4 linked regions of the Arabidopsis thaliana genome follow. The protein of the gene in region 1 interacts with the protein of each later gene in a pairwise test. Each region holds a gene or a part of one and is shown in the gene's direction. Other genes may lie near its edges. The genes, in order: AT5G03345, AT3G06170, EMB2759 and AUX1.

Region 1 (6,152 bases):
GAAGTTTGCTTGGCACTCGTTTGCTATAGCTTTGGCTAACAGGGTTTTACCACATCCAGGAGGACCGTAGAAAAGAACTCCCTTTGATGGAGACATACCAAACTTCTCGAATTTCTCTGGATGCTCCACAGGGTATTGAACAGTCTCCTGAAGCTCTCTCTTAACATTCTCGAGACCTCCAATATCCTCCCAGGAGACATTTGGAACCTCCACAACAGTTTCACGAAGGGCGGATGGGTTGCTGTTTCCAAGAGCAGTGTGGAAGTGTTCATTAGACACAGCCATGGAATTGAGGATTTCGGCGTCAATTGAGTCATCTTCCAAGTCAATCACATCCATCTTCTCTCTGATACATTGAAGGGCAGCTTCAGTGCATAGAGCTGCAAGATCAGCTCCAACATATCCATGCGTGTCCTTGGAGATTCTTTCTAGATCAACATCTTCAGCTAGCTTCATGTTCTTCGTGTGGATCCTAAGAACTTCAAGACGTCCAATTTCATCAGGAACACCGATATCAATTTCCCTGTCGAATCTTCCAAACCTTCTCAAAGCCGGATCAATACTGTTGGGACGATTTGTTGCTCCCATAACAATAACATGGGCACGTGATTTTAGTCCATCCATAAGCGTAAGGAGCTGAGAGACAATCCTCCTCTCAACCTCACCATTCGTCTTCTCTCTTTTTGGTGCAATAGAGTCAATCTCATCAATGAATATGATAGACGGGGCATTCTTCTCAGCCTCCTCAAATGCTTTCCTGAGGTTGCTCTCACTCTCACCAGCTAGTTTCGACATGATTTCCGGTCCATTGATACAGAAGAAGAATGCTCCGGTTTCATTAGCCACAGCACGAGCAATAAGAGTCTTCCCGGATCCAGGAGGTCCGTAAAGCAGAATTCCCTTTGGTGGCTTCACACCAATTGATTTAAAGAGTTGTGGATGCCTCAAGGGAAGTTCAACCAATTCCCTAATCTGAGCCATCTGTTTCCTGACACCACCAACATCGTCATAACCAACCTCATCAAGCCTTTCTTCGTCCTCCCTCTTAACTGGTTCACCCTCACAGAAAATCTCTGTATCTGGAGCCACCACACAGTACTCAGCAGGATCAGTCTCGATCACTTTGAACTCCACACTCCTCATTCCTCCTCTCACTAGGAAAAGATCTCCCTTCCTCACTGGACGGTACGCCTCCAGAAAGTAAGCTGGTGAAAAAAACAATATAAGTTTAGAAAACACGAACTCCAAAAGACAAGCTAGACTATGATATGAAAGAGAGAATCAAAAGATTAAAGCAAACTTACGTTTCAGGTAAGCATCAAAGAGGTTTCCAGTAACGCCTTCAACTGTATCATCAACAGGCAAGATGTGAACACGCTTTCCATACTTGACATCTGGGCATTGGTGAACAGAAATAACATCTCCCAGCCTAACCCTCAAGTTAGACCTTACAACCTTATTCATTCTGATCTTGGGTTCCTCACATGTTTCATCAGCGAGGGCAATGCATACAGTGTCCTTCCTCTTCTTACCCTGAAAATCCAAAACCCCAATCAAGTAAGTAATCACAGAGATAAAAAGAACAATCCAAACCAATTCTAAACTCAAAAAAAAAAACTTCAGACAAAAAAGTTGTACCCTAACTGAATATGTTTACAAGATCAGACAAAGTAAAAAACATAACTGAATATGTTTACAACATGCTCGTGATATACAGTCAAGACACAGACGATCCAAACCAAGTCTAAACTCAAAACACCCTAACATAGTGACATAAGGAACAAAACCTAACCTTGATGAGAATTGTATCGCCTCGGAAAAGCTGGAGTTTTTCCATGGTAGTAGGATGGAGAGAGACAACAGAGTTGTCATCGTTAATAGCTTCATCGACAACAAGTCGGTTTGGAGACTTCTTCCTCTCTAGAATCGCAGTACTGAAATCCTTCTTAGTTTTCCTGAAACAAATACCCCAGGAAGACAAACAAAATCAGCTTTCAGATGAGATCAAACTAAAAAACCCTATTCTCAATATCGAAAAACCCAAGTAAAAAAATCGAAACTTTATGATCGGAAAACAAAAATCAAAGATCTAAGTACTTACGAGTCGGAGGATTCCGGTTCGTTTGACATAATGATAGCTTAAACTGACAAGAGAGCTCTAAGAAGGAAGTTGGGAAATTTGTTTCTAGAGAGATCGATTGGTGATGATGATGATGATGATGAATGGGATCTCAAGGGAGCTGAACTCGGGATTTTATACGCTCTGTGATTTCCTTCTTGTTGGAAAAATAAGCGACCCTTAACTTTTAAGTTTATCTTGAAAAGTTCCAAAAACTAGGTGTTGTGATAAATACACCCATGTTCCCTTAACATCATATCAATTAATTTATATTATTATATGATTTATCGAGAATCAAAACAAAAATCTACCTATATGAAGAATTAAAAAATTTGATGTAATTTTAAACTTATTTTAATAGTGTGGCGAGGGTACGTAAATGTTTATTAAAAACGTTATGGGGGAAAGTTGAAAATAAAAGTAAAAGAGAGGTGAGGATAACAGTTTTACTTTCTGGTTTTAGCAAACACAAGAAAGGAATAGAAGGTTCTTAGGTAGCGGTACCAAAGCAAGCTACATGTTTTTCTTACTTTTTTATAAATAGAAATTTAATATCTTACCATTTGATTTCTTTGTTCTAAAATAGATTTCCGTTTTTTTTATACGAAGTTATCAACATACGATTCAATTCAATAATTGCAGAAATTTTTGTTTGCATATGAATATATCATCAATATGAAATTCTAAATAAATATTCATAATTATTTATTATACGAAAAAATAATTATTTTCCCAAAAGATAAACCCTTATTGTTGTAAAAAAGTTATCAAACTAACTGAACTTTCATCTAATTAAAAATATTAGTTACTTAAAAAAAAGTTTGGGTTACAAAAGATTAATAGGAATCTAGGATATCATCAATCTAGAACTACGCGCCGTTGTTAGTCTCTTCGATATTAGACGTTGCGCCGTTTTCACTTTGAGATTTGCGATATTATAACTACATGCCGTTTTAAACTCCACTGATCGTCTTCTATTCTAGTTCGATTCTCGACGGAGAATACTCGACGAGAAAATCCAGATCGGGAATCAACTTAGAGAAGAAGAAAATTAAAAAAGAGAACTTCTAAAGATGAATTTGGGGTTCTTAGTTGGAGTTTTCGGCGTTCTTATTCTTTCTCATGCCGCTTATTCAACAATCCAATGTATGTCTACTCTTCCCAATCCAATTCCAGTTCCAATTGAGTCAGATCTACTTTAATTTTCGAGATAGGATCTTGATTTGGGTTTCTCTTGTTTATTTCAGATAGAGGATTGTTGAAGATTATGGAGGAAGAGTTTTCTCGACCACCGATTAATGTGAGTATATAATGATAACGGTTTCTCTTTTCCTCAATTGTGTTTGAATTATATCAGCAATGATTATGCTTTTATATGAATCATGATTGGATTTATTTAAGGTTATTCTGGAGTTGATCATTGGACTAGCTCTGTGTATGTGGGCTGCTTTGACTTTCCCTGGTAAATTTCTCTCGATCCATCCGGATTCTGATGAAAACAGGTTTGTGATCATGTTTCTCTCGAACTCTCTGTTTTGCATCAGTGTTAATCAATCTGAATTCATGTTATCTAGTGAGTGTTTTTACTATTGAATTTTTCTCTGTTCGTACTTTGTTGAACTTGGTGTAGAGTTACTACGGGTCTTATAGAAGCATCTTCTGGCTAGATTTGGTTCAATTATTCAGTTTAATCATGGGTGTTTCTAGTGAATATGTTTTCTTTTGACTGAGAAGGTTTACGGATGTGTTGTTAATCAATTGATTCAAAGAACTTGTGCTCTAGAGATGTTTCGAGGGTCTAGTTTTGATGTCTCTTTAACTCTCTGTTGTGCATCAGTGTTTATCAATCTGAAACATGGAAATTTGGTAGTTATTATATTTCCCGATGATTGAATGACCACCAAAGACTCATGTTTATTGATAAGAAACTGTCGTCTAGAGATGTTCTAGGTCAAACATTGATGTTTCTTTAATACTTTGTGCAGCTAAGGTTTTCTAAAATGCAGGACATTCAAAGGGACATTTTCTAGTTTATATTTGGTCCAGTTACGATTATGGGTTTCAAGAGCTTTAACCAGTTCTGCTCCTGGCTAATTCAATCAGTTTATATTTGTTTCATTGGCTCTTTAGACCCACTTTGGTTCCTTCTATGTCGCAGCCTCTCCCCTACCTTTTTGTACATTAGGTTCTTGAATTGGTTTTGAGTTTGGCTTTTGCTAGATAAAGTGAATATCTCCTGTTAACTGGTTTCTTTCAAAAAATTTGCAGGGCGGTGTTTTTACCAGATAATTCGGATTTCATGATATTCAATCACCGTGGCAGACTGTTCCCACCGCAGATCGACATGAAGTTTTGAATTTTTATCACACTGCTTAGTCAAACACTGATCTGTGTAATGTTATGAGATGTTTCCATTGAAATTCTACTCTAAGTAACTACTCTGCTTTGCATCAATTTTTGATTCTTGAAACGAGTCTTGTGATGTTTCTGTGTGTCAGGTCTCTACTTAGAATCTTTTAGAATGAAGAATCAACATAACAACAAGTGCACAGGTCCTAGCAGGATAGGATACTGTGTAAATAGTCAAATACAAACAATTAAAACAACAAAATTTGCTATTTTATTCATTCCGGTTACAACTTTCTGATACATTAGAAAAAGCATAACCGAACAGAACCGGTTTAGATTCTCTTGGCACTGTTCTGGAAGGTCCAACTCCAAATGTCATGACGTTCAACGCCACGGCCCATGGCACCAGAAAAACCGGGGTACATATTTTGAAGAAAAACCTTAGAGAGATCTAAATGGGCAACGATCAAAGGCTTCTTAGGTTTCTTAACGGTTTCTGGCGCGAGAGTAACTGTAACCTTGGAGTTTCTATACTCAATCCAAGCCTTGTACCTCTCTCCATTACTCAGCTTGAACTCTTTAAACGACCAGTGTTTCATTTTCCCAATTCCTGTCTGAACCCAATAACCAGCTTTCTCAGCAACAACGGAAGTAACAGAGTTGATATTAATCCCGACATGGTTATCATTAATGTCTCCAAAACCTTTGTCCTGAAAAACGTCGAATTCGACAGCAAAGATGTGGTTTTTGGGGTTGCCATTGTTGGTTTTGTTGAATATCCCGAGGTATCCAGCGGGTCCAGGACCGTCACTTTCAATGGAAGGGACGACAACAAAAGCAAGGCCGTGACCAGGGGCGGGTTTGATGCGAGTAGAGATGGAGAAAGTGAAAGAAGTTTCAAATGGATAAGGAGAAGAAGAGTTTGAAGAAGGCTTGAAAGGGACTGGAGTGGACCAAAGACTTTGGCCGTGAGAGAATGGGTTCTCGTCTCGTGTCATGGAGAGAGCTCCGGAGCGGCTGACGCCATCAGAAGCAGGACCGAGCTCAGCGTCTCCAAGGAAGACCAACTCTGAGGTTTTGAGGTTGAGGTTGAGGTTGACGGCGGAAGTGGTGTGAGCTAAGAGCAGAGCAAGAAAACAGAGTTTATGAATCTTCATTGCGTTTTCGTAACTGCTGTTTACTCAAGTGAGAGTTTGAAAGAGTGAAATTATTAACGTGGTGATTTATAAAGAGTAAAACATAAGCCCATGTACATGACGTCATATTGTATGATGTCAAGTAAACGCATCACCTACAAGATTTCCTTATCCTTTCCATAAATTGAACTCGACCAATAAAAAACGTGATTGTTAATAATGGAAAGAAAAAAAAATTAAAACAAAATCATCGAATGGTCACATCAGCACATGACATTTTGTCAAGTAAACGCGTGAAGACACTGTTGTGAATACACTCATTCAGCAGAGTATGTGTACAGTGTACGCATATCTCGTATATTAGATTGTACTTGTCTTTTGCGATGTGAAAGCATAGTATACGGTATCATTATGTGGATGAATGAATAGAAAACACTACGTCAAAAGGATAAGGAAAATCTAGTGGGTTCTTTAATTCTTTACCCACCACATAGACAACACTACGTCGTATAGAAATTTACTTAGAGAGTATTGAAGAGGAACATAGA
Region 2 (7,159 bases), on another chromosome or scaffold:
TACCATGACACCAACCCGACGACCGCGCTAAATAATTGCCCAGCGGACATGTGGGCAACGAAGTCGCGTCGGTGTGCCGGTAGGGGTACTGTTGTCTTTTACTTTAAACAATTAATACGTCGTGTATGGTGTTGATTGGCGTCACATGCATTTGTTTTGTTATTGTCCTCTCTCTCTCCACCGTCGCTCCTATTTTCTCTGCAGAAGTGAAAAGAAAAAAAATTGTTTTGTCAAAAAAATGGCTCAATAAATAAGACGATTGTCACTTTAAAAAGAAAATAGTAATTATCCAAATATCAATTTCAGAGATTTTTTTGGCTAAAAAGATAAAAGAGCTAGCTCAGATGTTATAATTATCAGTAAATGGAAAACCGTTGGAGATTTAGTACAACTAACAATTTTTGATAAGACAATATAAGAATTTTCTTCTTCTTAGATTAGTAGTTGTCTATTTTCAATACCACTTTAGCTTAATCAAAGTGTCCATTCACATTATTCACAAAAATAGTTCATCTATTTTATTAATCTTCTTACTTTGATTCAAGAATTCCTTTTTTTTTTGTTGTTGCTCAAGATAGAATTTAGCTTATACATAAAAATGATACTTTTTCGCAGTTTTAAAATTCTCTAAGAAACCAAACTGATAAAATTTAAAGCGCAAGAGAATATTAAAGTAAGAAAAAGAGTAAATTATTACAGAATCTCCTCACTAAACGAGCTTATACGTTAATGGCTCTAATCTTGAATATGTTGTTGTTGGCCGTTGAGGCTGTGTTTAATCATGTGACTTTTAACTCCAAAGCTACCAAAAGTCTTCGGCCCAAGAGAAAAGAGCTACATGAGTACATTCTACATTCTTCAGCCAATAATGAGACTCCCTACTATCTTAATTATTGGGCCGAATATGGGCCTACATTAACTATTTAATGGGCTTGATAGTATTGTTAGCATCTAGCTTTTTATGATTTTGTTTCAGTGAGGAGAAAAACGCTTTCTCAATTATGAACTCTGCATCTTTGTCACTGATTCTTCTCACCTGATCTGTTGCAGATATTTGGTCAAAGAGTTTATTAAAAGATAACATAATATAAAGTGAAAAAGCAATGCTGCTTTCTCTCATTGGTTGTGCATAGAGCAAGGACAGAGAAAAACAGGTTCGTACGTAAGAAACACACATTAACTGTGTTCTGCTTCCTTTGTATTCTCTCACTTTTCTCTTTTTTCAGAATTCAATCTCTGGAAATTTTCTTCCTAAAGATTAAAGAGAACCGTTTGGACCAGATCAGCTTGCCTCTTGGTAATGGTCTCTCTTCTCTTTGTTCCCAATTTCTGTAGCTTTCTTCTTTCTCCCTAACTCGTCTGCTCTCTTTGTCTCTTCCTCTCACAGTTCATACGTCTTCCATGGCTTCCGGTGATGTTCTTCCTAGATTCTTCACTGTCTTCCTCTCCCATTGCAGCTCCGAATCCATGGTGAGATTTTTCTCTGGAATATTTCATGGAAAAAGCTGCTTGGGTTGATATGTTTCTTGGATACAGTAACGATGTGAATGAGATCTGCAACATTATCTTAATTCTTAACTCTATATGTTTAAATCTCTTGACACTGACAAAAGTTTTAACTTTCTTCACTAATGAGCTCAGGATTATCTCTGTTTGTGTTACTTATGTTTGAATATGATAGAGTATGTCAAACTAAACACTGAATTTCCTCAAAGAGTTTTCTCCTTTGTTGAAAAAATTGAACAAGAGGTCTTGGTCTTGTTGTTTGTCTGTTTACCTCCGCTTGCAGACAGAGTCTTTAGCTTATATTTTGCTCACTTTTAACAGTTTAGTTTATGCTACATCTTTGTGTTGAGCAGGTGATACCAAGGTCTTACTACAATCTTTTACCACGTCCGTTGCCCAAGACTGCGATTCTCATCGGAACTGGTGGAAGATTTTGGAAAGTAGCAATGACGAGCAAGCAAGAGCAAGTGTATTTTGAACAAGGCTGGGGAAATTTCGTTGCTGATAACCAGTTAAAAGAGGGAGAATTCTTAACTTTTGTGTTTGATGGGCACAAAAGTTATGAAGTAAGTATCTATGGTCGTGGAGATTGCAAAGAGACTCGAGCAGTCATTCAAGTTGAAGAGATCTCTGATGATACAGAAGATGACAACGTTTCTCTTCATAGCCCTAGCAATGTTTCACTTGATAGCCTTAGCAACGATTCTCATCATAGCACTAGCAACGTTTCTCTTCGAAGCCTTAGCAACGATTCTCTTCATGGTGATGCTGAGATAGAGAGCGACAGTGAGTATTCTCCCGAGAACCTACCCTCAGCCTCTATATCTGTTGAATCCGTTGAGGTGGTGAATCCAACAACAAGCAGGCAGAGAAGTTGTAAGTAAACATTGTTCTTTTAACTGATGCTTATAACCGAAGCTGTTTAGAATTTGATCTCAAATGGGAATTTTGCAGACAAGAGGAAGACCATTGAGAATCCACATCTGTATTTGGATGATCCAAACAATGTCTGTTTTGAGACGTGTCTTAAGCTTAGAAAGTTTGAGCTGGTAAGACTTCATTAGATATTATTATCTCGTCTCATTAAAAATCCTTTCACGAGTTGATGATTATTTTTCTAACTAAAGCTCTATATACATTATGCACAGTTAGTTCATGCACAGTTGGTGAAAGACTACGGCTTGATATTCAGCGACAATGTTGACTATATTGACGGATATGGAAAACTAACCGCGAAAACGACCAAGTGGGCAGATCAACGGGTTTGCATAAACAAATGGCAGAAAATATGCGAGAGAAACCAGTTCACAGAGAATGACTCCATCCTATGTGAAATTCTCCGCAACGAGGACAAAGTGGTTTATGCAATCAAGATTCACATCTTCCGCGATGCAGCAGCAAGCACTTGATTCTCTGATGCAGTTCTGCAATTGTGTTTCTTCTCTTTCGAGTCTAGTCTTTTGTAGTAAACTATTAGAATGTCTAATTTCAAAACATGTTTAAGACTTTTGAGTTCTCTTGTAGACTTTGAAGTAAACACAATGAGGAGCAGGCTTAAGCTTACCCGTTAATCACTCTGTTTCTCTTACAAGTTACAATCATGTAAAATGGGTTAGAATGATCGTTTTAATATGTTAGGTACAGATTTCGTAATTTCTCGAAAATGTGATATCTCTTCTTCACAACAGAAGAACAGATTATTGTGAAAGTCAAAACAAAAAAAAATCTCTGAAACAATGGCGTGTTGCTTAGCTTCGTGCTGTGCGTCGGCGACTTGTGGATTATGCTCGTCGGTAGCATCGGGGATATCGAGGAAATCAGCGAGGATCGCTTATTGTGGTCTCTTCGGTGCCTCTCTTGTCGTCTCCTGGATTCTTCGTGAGACTGGTGCTCCGCTCCTCGAGAAACTCCCTTGTACGATTCTCTCATCCTTTTCTGAACTGGGTTTGTGAAAAAGGAGGTTCCTTTTAGCCGAGATTGATGATTGGAATTGAAAGAGACCATCAAATTTCGAAATTGGGTTTTCTTTGATCTTGTCAATTGGAATTGAATCCGGTGGTTAACGATAGATTTGGGTGATGTCTTGTGCTTGAATCTTACTAAGCGTTTAAGTATGAATCTTAATTTGTATTGGTTCAGTGGAAATTTGGTTGCTTTGTAGCTGCAACAGATTGATAATTGTGTACTAGAACTTTAGAAATCTCAATCTGTGTTGATTTGGATGTTTTTCAACTTTCAATTGCGTTTGTTTATGCTTTGTGTTAACCTGCTTGATCTAAGAGAGAATTTTGAGTGTTGCAAAAGGAAACTTCATCGCCTATTGATACAAATCTCCGGTTTTGGATGTTGTTTGACAAACAGGGATCAATACTTCTGATTCATATACCAAAGAATGGTATCAGCAACAAGCTGTTCTTCGTGTGAGCTTTGGGAATTTCCTCTTCTTTGCAATATATGCTTTGATCATGATTGGTGTCAAGGACCAGAATGACAGGCGTGACTCGTGGCACCATGGTGGGTGGGGTTTGAAGATGATTGTCTGGTTTTTGCTTGTTGTCCTCATGTTTTTTGTTCCAAATGTTATCGTCTCGTTATATGGTAAGTTTTTTTTGCTCCTCATAGTTTCCAACATAAAGTGCTACCATATCACGTTATGTTTATGTTATTGGAAATTCACTGGTTTGCAAAATTCCATTGCTGTTATTTTATCAAGTATTAGTTGATGATCTTAAATCGGGCTGGTTGGCAATTTGTGTGATTATATATTATACTTTGGTGTAGCTGCAAGTATGACAAGGAAATTTGAATATCTGCTAAAAGACTGAGACTTTAAAGTTGTGGATTTTAATATTAAACCATATATGCGGGCTAATCTTAGTGCTTGCACATTGTTCTAGGAACGTTGTCAAAATTTGGTGCTGGAGCGTTTCTGTTGGTTCAAGTGGTCTTATTATTAGATGCTACACATAACTGGAATGATTCATGGGTCGAAAAGGACGAAAAGAAATGGTATCATCAGCATCTCTTCTATACATTTGTCCTGTGTTTGTTCCAATATTCTGTTTTGGGCCTTTTTTTTTTGTTGAAGTTTGATAAATTATAATTTTCTGACTAATGGGATTCTTTGTGCAGGTACATCGCTCTGCTTGTCATATCAATCGTGTGTTACATTGCTACATATACCTTCTCAGGAATCCTGTTCATCTGGTTCAACCCATCTGGTCAGGATTGTGGACTTAATGTTTTCTTCATTGTCATGCCGATGATCTTGGCTTTTGTTTTTGCGATTATTGCTTTACATCCTGCGGTGAATGGCAGTCTTTTACCGGCATCAGTTATATCGGTTTACTGTGCTTATGTCTGTTACACGGGCCTCTCTAGCGAACCACATGACTATGTGTGCAATGGCCTTAACAAATCCAAGGCAGTGAACGCAAGTACTCTCATCCTTGGAATGCTCACTACGGTTCTCTCGGTTCTATACTCCGCCCTCCGAGCTGGCTCTTCCACCACATTCCTCTCGCCACCGTCTTCACCCAGATCAGGTACCTGAGCCAACCTCTTCAACACGCCTGGGCATTGGTTTTTTCGGTTTTGTGAATAATAATTCTGAACCAGACTCGGATTTCTGTTTCTTCTTTTTTACTGGAAACGTTTTTTTTCAGGTGTGAAGGATGCATTGTTAGGGGACCCTGAGGACGGGAAGAAGAGTGGTGAAGCCGAGGCACGGCCTGTGAGTTACTCATACTCCTTCTTCCATATCATCTTTGCGCTTGCGAGCATGTACGCTGCAATGCTTCTCTCGGGATGGACTGACTCATCAGAGAGTGCGACTCTGATCGATGTGGGATGGACCTCGGTCTGGGTCAAGATATGCACGGGTTGGGTCACGGCCGGACTCTACATATGGACACTCATTGCACCACTCATCCTTCCAGATCGCGAGTTCTACTAAACAGAGGGTAACATGTATATAGTCCGGTCCGTTGAATGTTATGTATATGTTTATGTAGTCACTTATAGTGGGTATGGTCTTGTTATAATTATGGTAGTAGTTTGTGTCGCGTTCTAGACTTGTAATTGAAGAAACCTCAACTAAAAGACCTTGGATGCTGTTTGAATGATTGTGTTGTTTTATGATAAATAGTAGGCCACTAAATTTGGACTATGGTAGAAATGCTCAACTTGAAGTCAAAGAATCATTAGAGTCAACAGGAAAATTTCAGTAAGAATCCAATCATAGTTTAAATTTGATCTAATCAATCATTAAAATAACTAAAACCACTAGACATTAAGCAGCCTTTTCCCTTTTGTTATCATTGCTATTAGAATTAGTTTTAGTTATACTATTGTTGATTCTTCCTTGGGCCTTCTCCTTGGAATAATCCTCAAGGACAAAATCTTTTATGTTAATCCGACAAACCATGTTTTTTTTCTTAATTCTTTAATTGTATGGCTTATAGCAATTATTCATATCCTTTTACTTATGACCAATGCTTTATACACACAAAAGGTTCCAATTCTAATGTACTCTTAAATTTTCCTATATCTCTCTATCGACAAATTGTACAATCATATGACAATGATTAGTATGTAAAATGTTGTTGTCCCCAGTCCCCACTATGATACGGACACAAATTTACATTGTTTAAGAAAATACTGATAACAAACCATTTAAATATCTTTAAACAACTATTTCGTATGGATAAAAAAAACGTAGAACAATTACACATATTTGACCATCTTCGCATTACCACATAAGAAGAGCGTATCAATCATCATGTGATATAGACCAACTTTATAAAGCTTATAACCTCTTTGTTTGTTTTTTGGACTGTAAAAGAAACCTCATTTGTCAGTCTTGAAAATTTGAAAGCAAGCCAATCAATAAAGACATGACATGACTTATTAAACGGCTAGTGAAACCAAAGACATATGACATACGTATGATTTGCTGAAAACTTAGATGAATATAAGTAGAAACTATCGGCATTAAAGTACACCAATAGCAAATCTGAAAATTAATTGAAATCCATTATAGTTAATTTTCGTCCGTGTGTATATAGTTATTGACTTATTGTATTCTCCATAATTTCAAGTGAGAAGATGGACGAACTCTTCTATGTAATGTTGTTAACCATGTGGAATGCTGATTAGCATCTATATTTCAGATTAAAACAACAACATCGTTTACCTCTAAGCCTCTAACATAGGACATAATTTATAACTTTAATGAAAACGATCTTCTTTGGTCTTTGGTAGACTTTAGCTACTAACTCTAGACATTTTTCTACCGTTTTATTTTTTAGTTCAGCTTCTGACCAGAACAGATTTATGATAACTCAATCATGCTATAGAAGTACTTAATTATTTTGGTCATTTGTATTTGACAGAATTCTTAGTATTATGTATTTACTCTTTCATAATGTACTCTAGATTTTAATTTTATAAAAATACTATAGAAAGAAAGTAAATCATTTTCTTATAATTAAACAAGAAGTTATCATACATAAATGTAATTAGATTTTTATATCCTAGAACAACAAAATGTTGATATAAATATACACCATAGATTGTACATAAACTTTAATATTATTCATGCACTTATTAACTATTTTCTATGGTTTCAAACAAAACTAGTCTATTTCAACAA
Region 3 (7,272 bases), about 24 Mb from region 1:
CTGTTCTTCACCGAGGCTCTCTTCTACTGCGGAGTCGCTGCATTTCTTCTGATAATAGACCGCTCAAGAAAAGGATCCGGAAAAGTTCCCCAGAACCGAATCAATCCTTCTCAGTTAGGACAAAGAATCTCCTCTGTAGCAACATTAGTGCTGAGTCTCATGATTCCAATGGTGACAATGGGATTCGTCTGGCCATGGACTGGACCTGCAGCATCAGCTACTCTTGCACCATACCTCGTTGGTATCGTTGTTCAGTTTGCATTCGAACAGTACGCAAGATATCGTAACTCTCCATCATCTCCTATCATCCCCATCATCTTTCAGGTATGTGATCACTCTTCTTCAATCAACACCTCTCAAAAGATATTTCACTTTAACACACTTTTGAAGGAACCTTTTTGGGTTTTGTAGGTATACAGACTTCATCAGCTGAACCGAGCGGCGCAACTAGTAACAGCATTGTCATTTACGGTTAAAGGAGCAGAGGCAACAGTTAATAATCTGGCAATCAAGAAATCACTGGGCACACTTTTGAATGTGATACAGGTTTTGGGTGTGATTTCAATCTGGTCTATATCTAGCTTCCTCATGTGGTTATCATCACCTTCCCAAAACCAGTCTTGATGTATGAAAACATCTTTCTTATTATTATTACAGAGAAGAGAATAACACAGATCTGTCTCGAGTTCTTAACTGTAAAATCCTTTACCTTTTTAAAGATTTTACTTAGGGATCCAGTTATTCTGAAACTTAAAAGATTCAAGTGGAGATCTGATTCCAGTTACAAAATTTGAGGTACTTTGTGACGCCTCAATTTACCCAACACATTTGGAAATTGGAATTATTGGGTAACTGAAAAGTTGTCAAAAGCTAATCTATTTGTGGTAATTGGATTTTCTTCCTAAAAATAGTATGTACATATCACTTTTGGTCGAATGTCTCCTTGTCTAAAAAAAGGTCCATAATGTTCTGTTCAAATTCATGTCTTTTTACGTGGCTGCATAAACTTCATCTAAGTCCCAACATTTTAACTACCTCAAACTGTCAACGTCTTGGAATAATCAAGTCCCCAAATATTGTCTATATCAATCAAATATCATAAAACTTCTCCACAAGGCACCAGGAATGTAATTATATTTAACACAAAAAGATATCGATATTAATAAAAAAAACTTTATACAACCCTTTATTTGAAATCAATTGGTAAACCAAAGTACAACAATAAACATGCCTAAAAGTCTAAAACAATTAAAAAAAATTCAAAACAATTTGTTAAGTAGAAAATTCAAAATTGTATGCCAAGGTAAAAAATCGATTTCAATATTACTGAAGAGATATTGAAATAGCGATCTTTTACATACCGAAGGGTCAAACATGATAAAGGCACTCAAAGATTAATATGTGCAAAAGATGGCCGCTCTGCCTACCAAAACGACATGACATGCGGATGGAAGATTTTTGCACCATCATACGTAAGTGTATACACTACTGTGTAAATTTCTCATATCGAATATACCATCTCATATAAAAAGCTTCCTATCTTGACTAAGAAATACAATAAAACTGTAACGACTATTGGAATGAAACCTCAATAAAACACCAAAAATAAACAGCTGCAAATCTAAATATTAGAAAGATTGTAACATTTTTAGAACAAGATCCAGATCTATTCTCTAACTGACCAATCAACTATCACCAACGTGTAAACAAGCTAACACATAAGTTTATGGAGTTAGAGAATATCTTCTACCACTTAAAAAGAAAAAGAACGAAAAACATGGAAGAGAAATATCGAATAAGGAGGAGACAGACAAAGGAGGCTTCTAAAGATAATGAAGGTATATGCAAAAGAGGTTTGGTTTATATAGAGAGAGGCTTGGAAATTAGGTCAATGGTGTTTATTAGTCGGTCGATGGAAATAGGCAGAAATTGGAAATAATATAAAAAGGCAATTTTCTAAGAAAAGAAGGAAATCTGTTTGGTCAGCGGGCAGCTACCCGGTGAATTAAACAATTCAGCAACTTGTCTGAAACAGGCAGCCTCGAGACTCCCACATGATCTTCCCGGTTCAATTTGGTTTACAAGTCTAATTGTATTTTAGATTTCGGTTTGGTTTGATTTTTCTTCTTTTTCTTTCTCAAGGGCCCATTTAGCATGATTTCTCGCAAGTCTACTATTGGATTAACCGATTAAGCATTAGGCCGAAGCCTAGGATCAAAATTCAGGGTATAAAGATCCATATATCGCTTGACTAAGTTGATAAACATCCGACCACAACCCCTTTTAAGTCCAATGAAATCAAGTTGTTAGTTAATTCATTGTGAAACTAGAGATTCAAGTTTTGGTTCCTTCAAAGATATTCGATATAAAAGAGAGGACTTCAAGTTTTGAGAACGTAATTACATGTTTCACGTCGTGGTTTTCAAAAAAATGATTATAAGAAATGTTATTTTCGTGTTGATTGTATGATTTGAAGAAACAAAACATCATGTAAATCTAAATGTAAAGAGCTTTTTTATCTTGAAAAAAGTTGATAAAAAAGTTGTGAAAGTTCTATTCAAATGATTTTTTTTTTTGTTAAGACTATGTTCTTCAACTCGTTATTTGACTATTTAAAATAGAAAATCAATTGTGATTTAATAAAAAAAAAAACTTAATAGTAATTTCTCCGAAACGACGACGTTTAGAGGTGTTGGTATTAAAAAACCTTTGATTAACCGCTTGCCTGCAATCTGCTCTCCTATCTCTTCCAATCTCCTCTCCTCTCTATCTATCCGCGTCCCCATTTCTTCTTCCCTCTAAAATTCCAATCTTTCTTATTGCTTTTTTTTATTCAAAGCTTCAAGATTTTCACTAGGGTTCTTTCCCTTTCTCTTATTCGATAAATTCTGTTCTTTTCTTTCGTATTCTCACGGACGAACAAACCCCAAGGCAACGAGCTCATGATTGAGGTCCGTTCTTCTGCTCTTTCCCTCTCAGTTTCTTCGCAGCTGTTTTCTAATTTGCAATCTATTTTATGGATTTGGGGTACTTTTGTTAAGGGAACAAAACCTATCATTTTCCAGGTTTCTTATGGTTGCGCTTTAGATTTTATAGTTTAGTGTAATTTAATCTGATTTGGGGAATTGGGTGTTGGATAAGAGTGTTTTGCAGCTGAGAGGATTGAAAAATTGAATATTTATGATATTTAAGCTCGCTAATGAGGTTCTCTTACTTCGGATTTTGCTCAGCTTCGCTCCTGTCAAGTAATTTTTGTTGTGATCTATATATGAAATTTCCTTTTAATGTTTTATGGTCGCTACTTGTGATTTCATCATCTTTGGAGGTTACAATCATCTTATTCAATCCTTTCTTCGGCCTCAGATTGTGGCTTTTGAGTAAATGATTCACTGCTCAGCTAGAGACAATGGTGTTGGTAACCCATAAATTGCAGGTATCTTAGACATAGATCTGTAAAGTCCTAAATTCTACTTTGTTTTGTGTCTCTGTAATGGTCATGTCTGCAAATGGTTGTACCTTCCGTTTCACTCTTGTAAAGCCTTCTTTTACTTGCCACACTAGAAATATAGATGTTTACCTCCCCCTTGTTCTCTCATGTAGGGTTCACATGTCTTGTCTCCTTGGAGTTCGCCAACATGGACCAGAGGCTTGTGTTTAAAGAGACCTGTTACGACAGTGCACTTTGTTGAGAGGAAAGATAAGCATTTACGATTGAAGCAAAAATGTTGTTTTAGGTGAGTATCCCACTTTACAAATCCCTGCTTAGGTTATGTACTACTTAGTTTGAGACTCATTACTCTCTCTGTACGACTGTACTCTAGGAAGGTAGATACGTAGTTATATTGTGGATTAAAATGTGCCTCTTAATACGCTGAGACCTATCTGTTAGCTAAGAGATTCCTTGTTAGATACTGAGACGTATGAACATATAGGAAACTATACTAAAAAGTTATAGTTCATATATTCCCTTTGCAATTGATTCTCGGAATCATAATATGTTGTGAAACTCTTTTGCAGTTTAGGGTCCCCTTGCAACGGTGGATTGAGAGCAAAACCTTTCAGAGTTACATCTTTTAAAGGTGGCATCCAAAATAATGAATCAGGAGGAAGTGAGGGTGGGAAGAAAGTTACTAATAACTCTGTCAAACTATCTTACCGTTCAGATGATGACGAAAATAATGTGAATGGCTCCCCAAAGGCACAGAACACTTCGTTTTCATATACCTCGGAAACAGAGGATTCCATGACAGGGCAACCCGCTATTCAGAAACTATTCAAGAAATGGTTGACATTGTTGCGCACACAGTCACCTATTCAAGTGATTGACGAGACTTTAGGAGGAGAACAGGTTCCACAAACGACGAAGCAAGAAACTGAAACAGAAATTCGGAAAGCAGAAAGTCTCCAGAGTACCAAAAATACAGTTTGGTCCTGGTTTTGGAGTCTAGACGCAGCTATCAAGATTCCGTTGCTGTTATTGTAAGTATCAGCATCAAAGCATCTTTTTCTTTTGCTTGATGAGGTAGTCTAGAGTTAGTTATCAATAGAGGAAAATCGACTAGATGTGAACTTATATTCAAAAACTGTCCTTAGGAAGATTTAAGAGTGTCACAGCCACTTTTTTCTTTTCCAAGTTCCTTGTATGTGTATTGACTATACTTTCACCTTGACCTTTTTTGTAGTGTTCCAGCTTTCCTAGCTGTTTACGCGATCTGTGGTGCTGAAGTTACAAAGGAATTATCCCCTATGTGGGTGGTTGGCCCCTTGATCATCGCCCTTTATATAAAAATGTTCCAAGGACTATGTTCCCTTTACGCCTTCTGCTTCAACCAAACCATCAAAATGATAAGAAACCTACCATCGTATTATCTTGTAGCATACCAATACATTGCCGATGGAAAGCTCAAAGACGACGTTAAAGCTCTAGTGTTTAAACCAGTGGTGGCCATCAAGAACACAGACTACAAAGAGCTCACACGCACGAAGCTGAAACAGTTCCAAGAATGGATCATTGAGAAATACCTGGATTTTGTTGAATCTGTATGGCCTTATTACTGCAGAACTATCAGATTCCTGAAGAGGGCTAACCTGATTTGAAGATCTTCAACATGGAACCCTCAAATTCTGACTTCTCAGGGCTTCTCTATGATTTCTCTCTGTGCTTTGTTTACCTTTTTTTTTTTTTTTCTTAATTTTAGGAAGGCTTTTCATGTTGTTTGTTCTTATCTCTATGTATACTGATACCTTTTTTGAGGTTTTACAATGAGTTCTTTTAATATTAAGGGTTATCCCTTTTCTCCATACTTAAAAATTATCTATACACATATAAATCGACAACAACAGAAGAAATAAGTGCTTAAAGGTCTCTTATAAACCTCTTTAGCTCCGGAAATTTGATGGTAATGTTTCTTCAGTAAAGTACTCCTTTCTGACGGTCTCTGCTGAGCAAAACTTGACCTTCACATAAAGCAAAGTATAAAAATCCATCTAGTCCAGTCCTCTGAATAACCACACTATGTAGTATATAGCAATTAGAATCGATGCATAAAAACATAGCAATATGGTATGGAAGTTACCAGAGAAGCGTATTGCTTCACCAACGGTTTAGTGAATTGCCAAATTGGCTGAAATATGAATGGAGCATCTACAAAAAGGACTTCATCCAATCGGCTTGGATAGTAATAGTAAAATACGTCAAACTGCAGAAACAAAACAATGGAAAAGACAACAATAAGATCAAAGACCATTCACCTGTAAGAAGATACAAAAACCATTCACCTGTAAGGAGAAAGAAATACCAGGAAAGTCAAGAACTTAAGATCTGCGTTCTGAGATCCGAATCCACGGAGATCAAATATCCCAAGTATCTTGTGTTGTCCTGCTGGTAACTTACTTAAAGCCTTTTCAAGTAAGAACACACAAAGCTTTTCATCTTCTATTGGATCAAGCAGCTGCAAAACGTCAGACATTTCACAAATCCTCAGCTATAGTAAATCTGCATTGCTGAAATTTAACAAGAAAACTGGTGTCTAACTTGCCCCGGGGATGTGCTTTGCAGGAGCTACAATAACCACTGGCCGACCTTTAACATCTAGAAAACCATGTACATAGGCTTTTCCAGTGTCAGTAGCTGCTTTAATAGAATCTTCAGAAAGCTCATCTACCTTGAACTCATGACGCCATTTCTAAGCTTTTAAGTAAAGGATAACATGGAAACCAAACCTTATCAATATTACCAAAACAAAAAACAACATGTGATTTGATTCTACAGGTTCTACATAAAAGTGAAGTCTCTGGCAACTTTCTAGATTCATTATAGTGAAGAATTGATAGAAGATAAAGAAAACACAAGGAAGAGGATACAATAGCTTTAGTTAGCTTTCCAATGGCTTCATCAACAGAAAATCTGCGATCTTTCAAAAACCAGAGGATCATATCCTCATCATCTCTTCCATATTTGCCAAGTGGGAGACTAGTACAATCTTTCGCAAGCCGTTCTTTTACTTCCAAAACTAGCTGCACCACATGTTCACAAACCCAAACTTTCATTACACAATCCCCTCAGAACTCAGAAGACACATTCCATAGTCTAAACATCCAATTCAATGGGTATTGTGGAACTCAAGAACCCAATTCTGAGACCACATAAGCAAAAGACTAAGTTTTTATTTTATTTCTTAAACAGAGCTTCCAATGCCAACAATGGAAGAAAGAAACAGAGGAAAACTTGCTGCAGATATCATCAGAAAAAAGCATAAAAGGCATATGCGAAGAAGAAAGCCATTGCGTAAGAAATTAAAAAAAGTAACGTCATCGTAACATTCATCCAATTTCCATGATTCTCGCTTTTTGGCTAAAAGAGAAAAAACAAAACCTTGTGCGCATGTTGGGATTCAGACACGCAACTTCGGACAGAGAATCTGCAGTTCCGAGATCGATTAATGTTCAAATTCTTCGAGCTTTTGAAATTGACTGAAGCAGCAACGATGGTTGAGCTGAAACGAATCGACATTGACTACAAGGAGTAAAAATTTACTCTTTAGAGTTTGATTCTCAGAAATTAGATTGATGAGAGGAATTCGGAAGTTTCAAAAGCTGGGCTTTGTTCACCACAGAGCAAGAAGAATTCAGAATTTGGAATTTTGCGATTTATAGATACAGAAGCGAAACAGAGGCATATGTTTTTGTTTCCCCTTTTTATAGACTCTTGCTTCTTATACACACGGGTACGGGTCTTTTTATCTGGGTTTAGATCCGGTTCAGGGTCTCGGA
Region 4 (9,015 bases), on another chromosome or scaffold:
TATTAAGTATTAGTATTGATTATTTTTCTAGGTCTAGTAGAAATGCAATTTGGTTTCCAAGTGATGATCAAACTACCGTCAAATCATTTCGAAGTGTTTTTTTTATATCAGAAACTAAGTCGATTTCTGAAAAACGTTGTGATGTATAGCATACGCCTAACTTTTATGCTGAATGTAGATAGCTAGAAACCTAATTGTTTAAAGATGGAGAAAAAAAAACTATAGTGTCCTCCATAAAAAACAGGTCATCTCCGAAGAGTTATTTTCAAAATCGACATTAATGATCAGTTACATATTTTTTAATCATTATTTGAAACAATTATTTTATAATTTTAGCTAAGTATGTGATTAAAACAAATGAAAAAAAAAAACTCTAAAATGGAGGGATGAACATATTTGGGGAAGTGATAGACAATGATATTTCATATTTAACCATTCGTTATTGAATTTAGGAGTTGATAATTGAATGCCTATGAAAAATATGTTCCTATTGTTAGAGGTGGGTTGGAGTCTTGAAGACAGAAGACGCTCTAATATACAACTGAAGTTTGAGTTGCTTGTAAATTCAAGTTTTGTATAATTTATTTTCATTAACTGCAAACTAAAATTTATATAATATTGCGTGAAACAGAAGCAAAAGCAAGCAACTCGTTGGGTAAAATCTGCAGTTTCTGCACCAAATTAAAGAAGACCTGCAACATTGCCGCCTTTACATAAATACACACACTAGATACATAGGCTCTATGTATCTTATAGTATACGATATTTGTTTAGAATATTCTGCAAGTTGATTAAATTTCATGGATCAGTAGACTTGTTTATATTCTAAAGTTTCAAGAAATAGTCAATTTGTCTACGTATAATTAAACCGTTTCTTAGCTGGAAGTTTACGATAACGTATCCAACATTTAAGTATTGTCGAGCCATATAATTAGAGAAAATGACTAGTGAGAACACTGAGAGGTTTAGCAGCTGAGCAAGCAAGTTACTTACAAAACTTGGAAACAAAGGTTGTCACACTAATATTCACACTACGTGAGAATTCGTACAGTGCACATCAATATAATATTTTTAAAACAGCAAAGTGAAAAATGAACATGATACTATATATATCCAATTTATTAACAAAATTTTATAACTTATAGTATCAAAAATAGTAAGACTCATATTAGACCAATATATATTAATGCCTACCTACCTTTGACCTTAGGAGAAAGTATGAATAATTAACATGTATCCAGGAATGGCATTGTAGAAAATACTATTTTACATTACTATTTCATCTAAGGATTGAGATTTCATATGAATTCAATGATTTATATTTACTGCCAATATTTTTTTATCTTACTAATTTAAACGAAAGAGATATTTTAACTTGAAATAATTAGAAAATAGGTTATAGATCATTCAAACATAAAATTATTAAACTGTTCAACTATTTCTAAATGATTTATGTTAGCCGTCAGATAATTAACATGGAAAATTCTAGTTTCATCATGATAATACTCCAACTATATGTGTTAATATGCGTATAAGAGAGAGTATGGCGTAGTATCCAATCATTTCTTAGTATCATGTAGTATTTGGTATATGCCGTATAGTAGTACCCAATTATTTCTTTGATGGGCAAATGCTAATGACTAATGAGTATTTTGCAAACTCATGATCACTGAAAACATGAGCCTTCGGTCGACGATCAGGTGTCTTAAATTTGTCTGCTCTTTAATTTTTGTAGGATAAAAAATTGAAAAATTTGAACTTTAGACCATAGAATAGATTATTCCAGCTAGTAATCTAGAATAAGAATGATGTGAAAAACTTGTATTTAGTGGTTGATCATATAACCAAACCAAAGGATGATTACGTTTTCCTTAAACTCTAAAAACATGCAGATTATTGATCTGTCCATCCTAGTTTTAGGTACGGTATTAAATTTAGATAGCTGTTGAAAAAAAACAAAAGTGAAGATATCTAAATCTAGATATGTTGGAGCAAATCCAGTAGTGGATTCTAAGCAAAGTTTCTAACCTATAATAATAATAATAAAATAATAAATAATATTATTTAATTAAGATAGTTTATAAGGAAATGTGAGAGAGTTTCTAATTCAAGAGATTTTGAAGACTCTTCTAACTATTTTTAGAAACTTTTCAAATTAAATAATATTATTTCTTATTTTATTATTATTTTAGTAGATTAGAAACTATGGTTAGAAACCACCATTGAGTATGCTCTTAATTTATATCCTATAACAAGTCAATAAATCGTCAAACATTAATACGTTGCATTATTTGTTTGTCATCATATCTTAAATATTTCGAATTAAATGATACGTTTTCGTCACACAACTAATGCTTTTTAGTAGATGAAATATAGTAAAATACGATTTTATGTATTTTGAACCCATGTGGCGTTATGTTTTAATTTATTATTGGATAGTAGAAGAAGCCGGAAATTCTGGATGTCAAATAGTCACATTAATATTCAATGCGAAAACGTAAAAAAAAGTAAGATGCTACCGTTACCTAAACAAAAGTTAATGGTGTGATTTTACAGCACCTGTTTAATATTTTTAAAATTACATAAAAAAACCAAAGAGAAGTAAGAAAAAATGAAAAAGAGAGATTGGTATATAAAAAGGAGGAGTAGGGGGTGAAGCCCGAAGCATCTTATAGTATTTTTAGCTTCATTCCTTCTTTTGCTCTGATCAAAGTCTTCTCCTTCCCTTCTCTCTCTCTTTCCTCCTCTGCACATTTCTGGGTTCTTCTCTTCTTATGCTCTGTTTCTTTTAAGACACAGAAGAAACAGTACAGAGTTGAGATTTTCTTAAACAAAAGTGAAAAGAGAAGAAACAAGTGACAGCTCAAACGGACAAAAACCACTCTTGGGTCTTTCTTGCTTCTGATTCTTTCTCTTCTCTAATAGAAGAAAACGTAAGTCACTCTCTCTACTCTCTTTTTTCACACTGAAGAAGAGAAAAAACGTGAACAAAGAACTGTCAATTCTCTTTCCCTCTCTGTTTTATCTTCTTGAATTCTCCAAGATTGAGATCTCTCTCAGTCTCTTATGTGCTCTGTTTTCTCCTCTCTGTTTTCACTTAGTTACTAAACACAATCGATTCTTTCGCTCTGTTTTATTTCTCAGATCTAGAAGCTAAAAAAATGTCGGAAGGAGTAGAAGCGATAGTAGCAAATGACAACGGAACAGATCAGGTAAACGGAAACCGTACCGGGAAAGATAACGAAGAACACGACGGCTCCACCGGTTCTAACCTAAGCAATTTCCTATGGCACGGTGGCTCTGTCTGGGACGCTTGGTTCAGCTGCGCATCTAACCAAGTAAACCAATAAAACCATAAACTAAAGATTCAAAATTTCGGATTTCTCATAGTGAAGAAAGATCTGATTTGTAGTAATTATCGTTGGTTTCAGGTGGCTCAAGTGTTATTGACATTACCGTACTCGTTTAGTCAACTAGGAATGTTATCAGGAATAGTACTTCAGATCTTCTATGGTTTACTAGGAAGCTGGACTGCTTATCTCATCTCTGTTCTCTACGTCGAATACAGAGCTCGTAAAGAAAAAGAAGGCAAAAGCTTCAAAAACCACGTCATTCAGGTCCCCTCTTTAAACCCTCTCTCTCTAATCAGAATCACTAAATCATAATTATCTTTCACTAATCTAACACTTTTAAAAATCTCAACAGTGGTTTGAAGTACTTGATGGATTACTTGGTTCATACTGGAAAGCACTAGGACTCGCATTTAATTGCACTTTCCTCTTGTTTGGATCTGTTATCCAACTCATTGCTTGTGCCAGGTCTGTTATCTTTTAATCATTCTCTTTATCTTTTTAATCACTCTTTAATGATTAAGAATGGAGGATAATTGAAATATGATTGGTGTTTACTTGCAGTAACATTTATTACATAAACGATCATCTGGACAAGAGAACATGGACTTACATATTTGGCGCGTGTTGTGCAACCACTGTCTTTATACCGTCGTTTCACAATTACCGAATTTGGTCATTCCTTGGCCTTGGAATGACCACTTACACCGCTTGGTACTTAGCCATTGCCTCCATCATCCACGGCCAGGTAATGTTTTAATATATTTCACCAAAAATATATTTCATCACATTATAAAGATCACTACACTGTCGTTTTCATATTTATATGCTTTGCATTGAGGTGACAGTATATGCCTTAATTAAAAAGAAGAATAAAAAAAATTCGTATTTTCTCTTTAAGATCAGGGATTATTCTTTGCATCTTAACCCAAATTTGTATTAAAAAGTGTATGTATAATATAACTTAGACAAAATTAGCTGTTTAATATTCTCCTAATCAAATTTTTTTTTTGTTGTTTATTTTAGGCGGAAGGTGTGAAACATTCAGGTCCAACAAAGCTAGTGCTTTATTTTACGGGAGCCACAAATATTTTGTACACCTTTGGAGGTCACGCGGTTACTGTGTAAGTTACTCTTCTTTTGATTTCTTAATGATTATTAATTTTGTATCTAATAAAAGATCAATAAATTTTGTCAGACATAGTTGAATTACTATTTAAGTTAAAGCTAAATGGCAGAAAAAGTATATGGTAAATTAAAATGGTGCCATATTATTAAATTATGGGTGCTGCTGTATCGTTTCTTCGCCGCTTCTATTGCAGCTTTTGCCGGCAAATAAGGTGTAACTATTATTACAGTCATCATGATTGTCATTATTATTTTTAGCAATCCTTAAAATAGTAGTACTAATAAAATAAGCTCTTTTTAAATATAAAATAGAATAACCATTATTATTCCTATCCCTATAAAGAATAACAAACACTATTGCTACCAAAGCACTACTACTACTAGTAGGAATAGTACGCTTTTGCGAAATGTCAAATACACCCTTTTTATGCGTCAATGATTGTTGTGAATCCAATCTTTTACATAGTTAAAGTTTTGGATGAAATTATGAATATTAACAGTAATTTCTAATTTGCAGTGAGATTATGCATGCTATGTGGAAACCACAGAAGTTTAAGTACATTTACTTGATGGCGACGTTATACGTGTTCACGCTAACGATTCCGTCAGCTGCCGCCGTTTACTGGGCTTTCGGAGACGCACTTCTCGACCACTCCAACGCTTTCTCTCTTATGCCCAAGAACGCGTGGCGTGACGCCGCTGTTATCCTCATGCTCATTCATCAGGTATACACATACAACATTTTTGTTCTTTCTTTTTTAAGTAAATTTTGATCATGAGAGATTAATGCAACGTGTTCTTGTTCGTGCAGTTTATAACGTTCGGGTTCGCTTGTACACCTTTGTACTTTGTGTGGGAGAAAGTGATTGGGATGCATGACACAAAGAGCATTTGCTTAAGGGCTTTGGCTAGATTGCCTGTGGTCATACCTATTTGGTTCTTAGCTATTATCTTCCCCTTTTTCGGTCCAATCAATTCCGCTGTCGGTGCTCTTCTTGTTAGCTTCACCGTCTATATCATCCCATCTCTCGCTCACATGCTCACTTACCGATCTGCCTCCGCTCGTCAGGTATAACATCTTTACTAGCTCACTCTCTTTTAGCGTTTCAAAACTCGAACTTAACCTAAAATACATTGAGTTACCAATAATTTTTTAGAAATGAAATGAAGAGTCGGTGGAGGAATATTATAGTTGGGGGGTAGGGTTGTGAAATTGGAGGGCAAAAACGTCTTTTGTGGAAGATAGATGGGGTTCAGTGTTCCGTATCTTACGGAAGATAGGATCATCACCCACATTCCTTACTGGCGTCCCCTCCAAATAATATATTATTGAGTTGGTTTCAGCCATTTCTTTATTTGGTTACATTTAGAAGAAAAAATACAATATCCGGTTAGGTTAGTATTAGTAATTGACCATGACTTCTTTTTCTTTCTCTCTTTCAAAACAGTGTATATTAAATTTACGTAAGATAAAAGTAGAGGAAAATAGGGGAGAGGAATAGGTAAGAGTCATAATCAGAAATGAAAAGGAGCTGTACAATAGGGACTCTATGCCTAACATTAATCTAAAGTGAGAGTCTGAGTATGACAAATCACAATCATATCTCTCTCTCTCTCTCTCTATCTCATGGGTCAACAAAGCTTTGGATTTTGTCCATTACTATACGACCAAAACTCTAAAACACTTACACACTCTCTATTTCTTTAATGGTTCTCTGATTATTTTTGTGTTTTGGATCTTTCTTGTAGAATGCGGCGGAGAAGCCACCGTTCTTTATGCCGAGCTGGACGGCGATGTACGTGTTGAATGCTTTCGTGGTGGTTTGGGTTCTTATAGTCGGATTTGGGTTCGGTGGATGGGCTAGTGTAACCAACTTTGTTCGTCAAGTCGACACTTTTGGTCTCTTTGCCAAGTGTTACCAATGTAAACCAGCTGCAGCCGCCGCACATGCCCCGGTCTCCGCTTTACACCACCGTCTTTGAGAGATCGAGTCAGGGTTCTTCTAATGCGTTTGTGGAGGGTTCTTAAAATTATTTGTTCTTCTTTTGTGTTTTGTGTTCGTATACGTGAAGGGAGTAAAAGTCACGAAAATAGTGTACTTTTTACACACCCCTTTAAATGCGTGCTAAGCTCTTAATTATTTTTTTCTCTTTTGGGGTTTTGTATTTTTGTTTTCACTCCTTAGTTTTTTTTTTAAAATTGAATAGTCGATAATATGTAGTGTGTGATTTCTTAATTTGGTATTGTTAAAACAATAGGCTAAGAAAATGTATCGTCTTCTCTCCTTTTACTTGTCTTTAGTAACAAAAAACAATTCTTATCTTATACATTTATCCTAATTAGACTTATATAAACTATTTTACCATGAACAATATCTTCCGATACTAGATAATTCTTTAGGATCCTATTAGATCTTTTAATTATACAGTTTTGATCATAGCACAGCGACAATACTACTAAGTTTACATTAAAATTTTGAAATAACACTTTAATTTATTTGGAAAATTTGATTTAACGGCAGGGTGTGTTTAAAAATTAAATAGGGGAACATGGACAAGTTGGACCGACGGAGCCGGTCATATATCCTATGGGCCACATGGGTGTGGGGAGAGGACGCACGTGGATACTTCGTCCGAGTCACGTGCCATTATTTACTTGACACTCTTCATCTTCTCTCTGATCAAAAGAATGGATCAGAGGACCGTTCCTGTCCCTCATATTAAATATGGCATGTGTTCGTTCCATTCGTACTCAATCGTTTACCCCTTATCATATGCTCTGCTTTCACATGTACTTTGCCCCCAAAGATTATAACTATATATGTAAAATTATTAACTAATATTCTCGTTTGAATCCAGAGTCCGATTCTTGTACTTTCCATCTGACTTTTTTTTTGTTGGGGGTCAAAATAAAAAAGAACTTTGCAAAAATGTTTCTTCTAATAGCATAAAATCGTTAAAGAGAAAAGAAGAAGTGAATGTGAGTCATATTATGCGATATGGAGTAGGACCCTTGGTAACGTTTGGTTAGTGACCCTTGGTAACGAGTGGGTTCAAATTGTCAATAAACTATTATGTGGCGAGTGGTGAATCGTCTTTAATTTGTTCTGATTTAGGCCATGTGAGTTTTGCAACTACATTTGAGGCTTTTCTTCTTCTTTATATTAGACTTTTTTTTTTTTGTAAAGTGGACTATCTGGATACAAAAAAAATCTCGGCTAACATGGATAAATCTAAGATGGTTGTGTTTGTGAAAAGAAAATTGTTTTATAGTAAAATACGGTATGCAATAAAAGTATTTCATAAAATATCTCATACCAATTATTCAAGCATGTCTTTTCATAACATTTGACTGGCATCTTTCTCTCCTTTGGCCTTAAATCAATTTTTTGTCATCTTGGATTTCTTTTGAGGTATATAGAGCTGTTTGAAAATTTTGATGGCTGAAAATCACTTCACATCTCGATTTCTATATCATCCACTTAACTCGAAGTCAGGAGTAGCCTGAGACGATTAGGTTAAGTTAAGTGGTTATATGAATTTGTAACAACATTTAGATCTTTGTTTCCAATCATCAACCAAGTTTGAGAGACCTTAAAAACGTATATACGCACACCACAAAGTGATATGAATATGCTAAATTGTTTCTGTAGACACACAAGACCGTTGAAACGTCCAGATTAATCGCTTACTCCAGTCGAGAATACTTCATAAACATGGGACTAGAATTGTACCAACACATAATATTTCTTCATACGAAAGAGAACATAGTCTTAGCATGTTCAGGATTTAGAATACATTGAAGAAACACACATCTTCGTTCATGGCCTTAAGGTACACGAGGCCTAGGAAAGGTCTCATACTCTTGTTGGGTTTGAACTTGAGAAGGTATTTGAGGTACACGAGGCTTAGGGAACAAGAGCTTCAGGCGAAAAGCATCCATCCCATTCAAGTAATAGTGGTATAGCCGTTTGGCTCTTATAAACCCGAGTCGCCCATATAGTGCTAATGCTCCTTTGTTACTCACTTCTGCCTCCAGAGTTACCTTCAGCCATACATCTTTACATTAATTAGATTGCATAACCAGACAACCATACTCTCATGTTGTAATCAGGCTTGATTATGAGGAACTTGAAGAGCAAATGCCAATCACGAGGTTCTTTTTCCAATCTATTTACTACTGAGATTACAGTTAAGAGATCACACATACAACAGAAAATGATTCGTCGAATACGCAATTAGTAAGTGGGAGACAGGGATTTCTTATTTTATATTACTATCAGTTACATTCCAATGCGTGTGACTATAAAGAGTCATGGACTACATACAAGACTTATACAACATATGTATACTAAGTGAGAGACTGGGATTTTGATTTCCACTACAAAATTAGTAACTAAACGAATATCGAAAAGTTCCAACTCTTAGGAGTATGATTAACTACTTTTATACGTGGAACTAAACTTACACACACAGTTAGCTAAACAATCAAAAGCAATAGGTATACTTGCAATGATTAAAGGCAGCTACATCACCT

Evidence for each region.
Region 2: the proteins of AT5G03345 (region 1) and AT3G06170 interact in a protein complementation assay, tested with the Arabidopsis thaliana proteins (one large-scale study listed by BioGRID).
Region 3: the proteins of AT5G03345 (region 1) and EMB2759 interact in a protein complementation assay, tested with the Arabidopsis thaliana proteins (one large-scale study listed by BioGRID).
Region 4: the proteins of AT5G03345 (region 1) and AUX1 interact in a protein complementation assay, tested with the Arabidopsis thaliana proteins (one large-scale study listed by BioGRID).

What each region holds. Positions count from the first base shown.
Region 1 is NC_003076.8:811,004-817,155, forward strand, and holds AT5G03345 (membrane magnesium transporter-like protein), read left to right. Parts: upstream 1-3,081; 5' UTR 3,082-3,192; coding exon 3,193-3,269; intron 3,270-3,366; coding exon of another isoform or gene 3,367-3,370; coding exon 3,371-3,419; intron 3,420-3,520; coding exon 3,521-3,712; 3' UTR 3,713-4,304; intron 4,305-4,387; coding exon of another isoform or gene 4,388-4,475; 3' UTR 4,476-4,616; downstream 4,617-6,152. Other genes in the region: AtCDC48C (ATPase, AAA-type, CDC48 protein), read right to left, coding at 1-1,205, 1,305-1,533, 1,793-1,955, 2,102-2,130; AT5G03350 (Legume lectin family protein), read right to left, coding at 4,801-5,625. UniProt on the Arabidopsis thaliana protein: Mediates Mg(2+) transport.
Region 2 is NC_003074.8:1,864,278-1,871,436, forward strand, and holds AT3G06170 (Serinc-domain containing serine and sphingolipid biosynthesis protein), read left to right. Parts: upstream 1-3,137; 5' UTR 3,138-3,242; coding exon 3,243-3,420; intron 3,421-3,867; coding exon 3,868-4,104; intron 4,105-4,403; coding exon 4,404-4,515; intron 4,516-4,638; coding exon 4,639-5,051; intron 5,052-5,171; coding exon 5,172-5,461; 3' UTR 5,462-5,686; downstream 5,687-7,159. Other genes in the region: AT3G06160 (AP2/B3-like transcriptional factor family protein), read left to right, coding at 49-79, 1,094-1,154, 1,227-1,297, 1,388-1,470, 1,860-2,382, 2,461-2,555, 2,655-2,915.
Region 3 is NC_003076.8:25,289,703-25,296,974, forward strand, and holds EMB2759 (embryo defective 2759), read left to right. Parts: upstream 1-2,701; 5' UTR 2,702-2,942; coding exon of another isoform or gene 2,943-2,951; intron 2,952-3,363; 5' UTR 3,364-3,406; coding exon 3,407-3,433; intron 3,434-3,600; coding exon 3,601-3,734; intron 3,735-3,748; exon of another isoform or gene 3,749-3,992; intron 3,993-4,017; coding exon 4,018-4,479; intron 4,480-4,682; coding exon 4,683-5,097; 3' UTR 5,098-5,293; downstream 5,294-7,272. Other genes in the region: AT5G63040 (uncharacterized protein), read left to right, coding at 1-324, 412-624; AT5G63060 (Sec14p-like phosphatidylinositol transfer family protein), read right to left, coding at 5,380-5,457, 5,577-5,699, 5,799-5,951, 6,039-6,185, 6,364-6,516, 6,875-7,012.
Region 4 is NC_003071.7:15,970,332-15,979,346, forward strand, and holds AUX1 (Transmembrane amino acid transporter family protein), read left to right. Parts: upstream 1-2,544; 5' UTR 2,545-2,933; intron 2,934-3,144; 5' UTR 3,145-3,161; coding exon 3,162-3,338; intron 3,339-3,431; coding exon 3,432-3,617; intron 3,618-3,705; coding exon 3,706-3,818; intron 3,819-3,914; coding exon 3,915-4,098; intron 4,099-4,376; coding exon 4,377-4,474; intron 4,475-4,995; coding exon 4,996-5,203; intron 5,204-5,289; coding exon 5,290-5,547; intron 5,548-5,635; coding exon of another isoform or gene 5,636-5,641; exon of another isoform or gene 5,642-6,227; coding exon 6,228-6,461; 3' UTR 6,462-6,849; downstream 6,850-9,015. Other genes in the region: ATMAK3 (Acyl-CoA N-acyltransferases (NAT) superfamily protein), read right to left, coding at 8,308-8,523. UniProt on the Arabidopsis thaliana protein: Carrier protein involved in proton-driven auxin influx.